2 linked regions of the Yarrowia lipolytica genome follow. Each later gene encodes a partner of the first gene's protein in a complex. Links are inferred from orthologs where the notes say so. Each region holds a gene or a part of one and is shown on either strand. Other genes may lie near its edges.

Region 1 (3,756 bases):
CACAAGTTGTCTCCGATTGTTTAGGCCCATGGACATTTTTACATTTTTAGGGGTGGTTTTAAGTCTGTCACACGTTTTAGCATGTACGTGGTCAGTCATAAATCTAATCACGCCGGTATCGCTGCCGGACTTTAGCCCTACAGTGCAAGGTGACTCTTTGATGTGTGATGCGCCAACCAGTTATTTTCGCACTGTACTCGTAGCGAATGCATCAAACACTCCGCGGGTGTCGTTTCTTGGACGTGGCATGCTGGGCGGCAAGTTTCCCATGCCAAGACTCTCTTGCTCATGTATGGTGAAACGTCTCCTCTCAACCTCCAGTATCGTGGGACGTGCTTTGACCTCCCGACAACTCCCGACTTTTTTTGCAGGCCGATACAGGCCAATAGACTGTAGACGTCTGTATCTGTTAGCATACCTACTGCAGAGTAACTGTTGAGCCAATTGTTCTACTGTACAGAAACGGTAACTATGACACAAGTACGAGTATGAGCACGAGCACGAGCTCTGGTATGTATTGTGCTAGACTACGGAAAATACTCTGCGCCCTCTTTCTCTGTGCTTACGTGGATTTCTGATGGGTCGATACAGAGAAAGATGCAGCCTCTCTGACTCAGGGACGAATTCTATCTGCCCCGAACACGGTAGGTGGTGTAGGTGTAATGGTACATCTCATACAGAGCAACACCGAGCAGCCACAAAGTCACAGGTGCTCACAATATGTGCCGCGTGTGGAGCCTACCGCGTCCCTATTTCTTGCCCTCTTATTGCCCTTTGTTAAACGTCTCAAATGTGCGAGATACCTTTTCTGCTTGTGACTCTTTTTTCTCCGCAAGCACGCCGAGGATAAACTTTTGCCTTGATGCCGAGGGTTGGGTGATTCTACAAGTAGGGCGATCGGAGAATTTAGCTTGCAAGTGGCGACACAAGAGGAGACTGAGCGGATTGGAAACACGGCCCGGCGATGTGTTTTACCACGTTTAATGCTTCATTTGGAAATATGCCGATACCGCAGCGTACCTGTAAGCTCTTTCCCTAGTCCCAGTGTACACCCGCCGATATCGCTTACCCTGCAGCCGGATTAAGGTTGGCAATTTTTCACGTCCTTGTCTCCGCAATTACTCACCGGGTGGTTTATAAGATTGCAAGCGTCTTGATTTGTCTCTGTATACTAACATGCAATCGCGACTCGCCCGACGGGCCACTAACCTGGCCAGAATCTCCAGATCCAAGTATTCTCTTGGTCTGCGATATGTTTCCAACACAAAAGCCCCTGCTGCCCAGCCGGCAACTGCTGAGTGAGTATTCCTTGCCATAAACGACCCAGAACCACTGTATAGTGTTTGGAAGCACTAGTCAGAAGACCAGCGAAAACAGGTGGAAAAAACTGAGACGAAAAGCAACGACCAGAAATGTAATGTGTGGAAAAGCGACACACACAGAGCAGATAAAGAGGTGACAAATAACGACAAATGAAATATCAGTATCTTCCCACAATCACTACCTCTCAGCTGTCTGAAGGTGCGGCTGATATATCCATCCCACGTCTAACGTATGGAGTGTGATAGAATATGACGACACAAGCATGAGAACTCGCTCTCTATCCAACCACCGAAACACTGTCACTACAGCCGTTCTTGTTGCTCCATTCGCTTTTGTGATTCCATGCCTTCTCTGGTGACTGACAACATTCCTTCCTTTTCTCCAGCCCTGTTGTTATCTGCTCATGACCTACGGCCACTCTCTATCGCATACTAACATAGACGATCCCAGCCCGCTCCCCACTTCCAGGGCACCGTTGGCAAGCCTCCTATCCTCAAGAAGGCTGAGGCTGCCAACGCTGACATGGACGAGTCCTTCATCGGAATGTCTGGAGGAGAGATCTTCCACGAGATGATGCTGCGACACAACGTCGACACTGTCTTCGGTTACCCCGGTGGAGCCATTCTCCCCGTCTTTGACGCCATTCACAACTCTGAGTACTTCAACTTTGTGCTCCCTCGACACGAGCAGGGTGCCGGCCACATGGCCGAGGGCTACGCTCGAGCCTCTGGTAAGCCCGGTGTCGTTCTCGTCACCTCTGGCCCCGGTGCCACCAACGTCATCACCCCCATGCAGGACGCTCTTTCCGATGGTACCCCCATGGTTGTCTTCACCGGTCAGGTCCTGACCTCCGTTATCGGCACTGACGCCTTCCAGGAGGCCGATGTTGTCGGCATCTCCCGATCTTGCACCAAGTGGAACGTCATGGTCAAGAACGTTGCTGAGCTCCCCCGACGAATCAACGAGGCCTTTGAGATTGCTACTTCCGGCCGACCCGGTCCCGTTCTCGTCGATCTGCCCAAGGATGTTACTGCTGCCATCCTGCGAGAGCCCATCCCCACCAAGTCCACCATTCCCTCGCATTCTCTGACCAACCTCACCTCTGCCGCCGCCACCGAGTTCCAGAAGCAGGCTATCCAGCGAGCCGCCAACCTCATCAACCAGTCCAAGAAGCCCGTCCTTTACGTCGGACAGGGTATCCTTGGCTCCGAGGAGGGTCCTAAGCTGCTTAAGGAGCTGGCTGAGAAGGCCGAGATTCCCGTCACCACTACTCTGCAGGGTCTTGGTGCCTTTGACGAGCGAGACCCCAAGTCTCTGCACATGCTCGGTATGCACGGTTCCGGCTACGCCAACATGGCCATGCAGAACGCTGACTGTATCATTGCTCTCGGCGCCCGATTTGATGACCGAGTTACCGGCTCCATCCCCAAGTTTGCCCCCGAGGCTCGAGCCGCTGCCCTTGAGGGTCGAGGTGGTATTGTTCACTTTGAGATCCAGGCCAAGAACATCAACAAGGTTGTTCAGGCCACCGAAGCCGTTGAGGGAGACGTTACCGAGTCTGTCCGACAGCTCATCCCCCTCATCAACAAGGTCTCTGCCGCTGAGCGAGCTCCCTGGACTGAGACTATCCAGTCCTGGAAGCAGCAGTTCCCCTTCCTCTTCGAGGCTGAAGGTGAGGATGGTGTTATCAAGCCCCAGTCCGTCATTGCTCTGCTCTCTGACCTGACAGAGAACAACAAGGACAAGACCATCATCACCACCGGTGTTGGTCAGCATCAGATGTGGACTGCCCAGCATTTCCGATGGCGACACCCTCGAACCATGATCACTTCTGGTGGTCTTGGAACTATGGGTTACGGCCTGCCCGCCGCTATCGGCGCCAAGGTTGCCCGACCTGACTGCGACGTCATTGACATCGATGGTGACGCTTCTTTCAACATGACTCTGACCGAGCTGTCCACCGCCGTTCAGTTCAACATTGGCGTCAAGGCTATTGTCCTCAACAACGAGGAACAGGGTATGGTCACCCAGTGGCAGTCTCTCTTCTACGAGAACCGATACTGCCACACTCATCAGAAGAACCCCGACTTCATGAAGCTGGCCGAGTCCATGGGCATGAAGGGTATCCGAATCACTCACATTGACCAGCTGGAGGCCGGTCTCAAGGAGATGCTCGCATACAAGGGCCCTGTGCTCGTTGAGGTTGTTGTCGACAAGAAGATCCCCGTTCTTCCCATGGTTCCCGCTGGTAAGGCTTTGCATGAGTTCCTTGTCTACGACGCTGACGCCGAGGCTGCTTCTCGACCCGATCGACTGAAGAATGCCCCCGCCCCTCACGTCCACCAGACCACCTTTGAGAACTAAGTGGAAAGGAACACAAGCAATCCGAACCAAAAATAATTGGGGTCCCGTGCCCACAGAGTCTAGTGCAGA
Region 2 (2,631 bases), about 1.3 Mb from region 1:
TAATATGATTTCTGAGTTCCTGGGAGCTGGGAAACTTATGAAGGCGGGATGGAGTGGCAATTGGGGTCTATATAATGACGAGTGGTGAGATATCTACAAAATGTTCGTTTTTCTCTTCTGAAATTTCTTGGCTGGAACTCTTGTCCTTTATTTTTAATAAAATCATAAAAATATAAATAATAACTAAATAAAACACGGGAAAAAAAAAAAAACATAATCAAACTTTTTGAAAAGTATTAACTAAATAAATATAAAAATAAAAATAAAAATAAAAATAAAAAACACGGCATTAAAAATAACGAGTCAATTTTTTTAAAAAAACACCTCTTCTCTAATACAAGTACAAATAGTCTGAGTGCTGGTAAAGTACTCATATTTGACACTCAAAGTGTCTCTTTTCGTCTTCACGGCCTGGCTCAACAACTTCCTACTGCTCCCTACATTTCGCACCACGTCAACTCCTGCTAATGCTATATTACTACATCCGTTATTCAATTTTGGGGTCCTCAACCACCGTCTAACCAGGAGGCAGAGAGGTCTGGTCAACCACCTCCTCGGCCTTCTTGATGTCCTCCTCATCGGGGGTCTCAAGAGGAGTTCGGGGCAGGGCCATCATTCCGGATCGGGCCACCTCAAGAATACCAAAGGGCTTGAGAAGGTGCAGGAAGGAGGAGACTCGCTCGGGCTTGGCCGAGAGCTCGACAATGACGTTTCGCTCAGAAATGTCGAGAATCTTGCCGCCAAACTGGTGGGCCAGCTTGGTCACGGCGTCCAGGTACTGGTGCTTGTGTCGCAGAGCCTCGGAGGCGGCAATGTTGTTGGGGTGGAAGTCGTTCTGCAGCACGGCGTCCTCAAACTCGTGGCCGTGGTGGGTCAGCAGATCCTGGAAGTACTCGGGGCCCAGAATCGACACTCGGGCCAGCAGCAGCTCTCGCTTGATGATCGAGGCGTTGGAGTAGTCCAGCACTGCCCACACGGGCACCAGATCCTCAATCTGTCGTCGCGCCTGCTCGATCACGGCATCCTGGCCTCGCAGAACAATGGTCATTCGCGACAGATCGGCAACCTCCGTGTTGCACACTACCAGCGAATCAATGTTGAAGCCTCGAGACGCCAGAGTGCCGGCAACTCGCGACAGAACACCGGGTTCGTTCTGAACCAGACAGTTGAACACGTGTGCCTTGATGGGCGCCTTGGACGGCATCGGGGTCTCGTACAGAATGGAAGAAACCGCCGTGTTGGCGTTCCATGCTGGAGTCTCGATAACGGGCAGCTTGGGCTGCGATCGGTTTCGGTGGAGCGTCTTGTACGCCAGGGCACTGATGGACGAGTGCCGAGCGCCCTTGGGGGTCAGCACGGGACCCACAAATCGTTTTCCAAGCATGTTGTGGGGAGAAGAAGATGCGGTAGGAGGAAAGGAAGTTGTTTTTAAGGTGGTGGTGTAGGTAGAGTCATAACTTTATTTTGTGAGGAGAAGGAACCAGTGAACAAGCCTGGGTGGTCACCACAGCAGAAATGATGGCCGTTACAGAGCACGGGTGGTCACCACACGTCGGCCGTGGGCCCCATCACACAATCCATATCTTCACCTTTCGGCCAAGTATATTAACTCATAACCTGATCCGATTGGTCGGATGGCACGACAAAAACCATGCATCACCAACAACAATAAACAGGTCATGCCATTACTCCATTTGTGTGGCATCACATGACATCGATCTTGTCGTGCCACTACTCTTGTCGTCCCATTACATTGCTCTTGTCGTCCCATTACATTGCTCTTGTCGGTCGTCCCATTACATCACTCGTGTAACCCATTACTGTACACATGTCCTCCCCCGGCTATCGGGACCCATTATCTGCATTGCACTCCAGCCAATTACTCCTGTCCCGATATCGGTGTAGCAGCGGTAAAAATACGTGTAACTAGGTCCACAGAAACGTCACCGAGAATCAAAGTAGTTCATTTTTGTCGGAGTCGTTGAAATACCATCCTCTCGAAATTTCAATCCGGCTTTCCGAAAACTCCAACAAAGATCAACTCTTCCGATATCGGCATGACTTTTGATATAAAAGTAAATTAAAAATTAAATTGAAAAAATTGAAAATTGAAAATCAAAACCAAAATCAAAATCAAAATCAAAATTGAAAATTGAAAATTGAAAATTGAAAATCAAAAAGGTAGATAAGTATTCAAAAATAACAAAAAAAATAACCAAAAATAACAAAAAAGGCACACAAAAACTCACCCAAATATAAACCATTTCCACCATTGCCGGCGTCAAATCCCGACACTTCTTGCCCCAGGCAACCGACTTCGTCATGCACCTGTCCGTTATCGCAGGATAGAAGACAATATTGGATGATAGAACGGGTTGTAGTGAGTCGGTTTCTAATATTAAAACGATGTTGCCACCTATGGTACTACGGATACAATCTGGTGCTTGTAAATCGCCAATCGGGGCATTCTTCGATCATCTTGATACCAACCGTTATCGGTGCAAGAATTTTTTATTTTTTTTTATGAGCCGATTTTTGCCGAGTCAGCTAGAGTTACTTGATGTGAATAAACTGGAGAAAATAATGTCAACAAAACCCAACTTAACGGCTGAAGTGATGCCGAAAACGGGG

Evidence for each region. Proteins that work in one complex are often made in the same cells at the same time.
Region 2: the proteins of YALI1_C00293g (region 1) and YALI1_C13355g are in contact, whole or in part, in a crystal structure (PDB 6U9D), measured with the Saccharomyces cerevisiae proteins. The link is inferred for Yarrowia lipolytica from reciprocal best matches to the Saccharomyces cerevisiae genes ILV2 and ILV6. Residues at the interface, in NP_013826.1 of Saccharomyces cerevisiae: Arg211, Lys215, Trp216, Asn217, Ile236, Pro269, Ser270, Ala272, Leu273, Pro410, Lys411, Ile413, Asn414, Lys415; in NP_009918.1 of Saccharomyces cerevisiae: Gln85, Glu87, Ser92, Arg93, Arg101, Gln134, Arg137, Gln138, Glu140, Asp141, Leu142, Val143, Pro144, Val145, Tyr146, Ala147.

What each region holds. Positions count from the first base shown.
Region 1 is NC_090772.1:27,373-31,128, reverse strand, and holds YALI1_C00293g (uncharacterized protein), read left to right. Parts: upstream 1-1,176; coding exon 1,177-1,298; intron 1,299-1,763; coding exon 1,764-3,687; downstream 3,688-3,756. UniProt on the Saccharomyces cerevisiae protein: Catalytic subunit of mitochondrial acetolactate synthase, which catalyzes the first of a series of common steps in the biosynthesis of the branched-chain amino acids.
Region 2 is NC_090772.1:1,334,269-1,336,899, reverse strand, and holds YALI1_C13355g (uncharacterized protein), read right to left. Parts: upstream 1,385-2,631; coding exon 518-1,384; downstream 1-517. UniProt on the Saccharomyces cerevisiae protein: Regulatory subunit of mitochondrial acetolactate synthase, which catalyzes the first of a series of common steps in the biosynthesis of the branched-chain amino acids.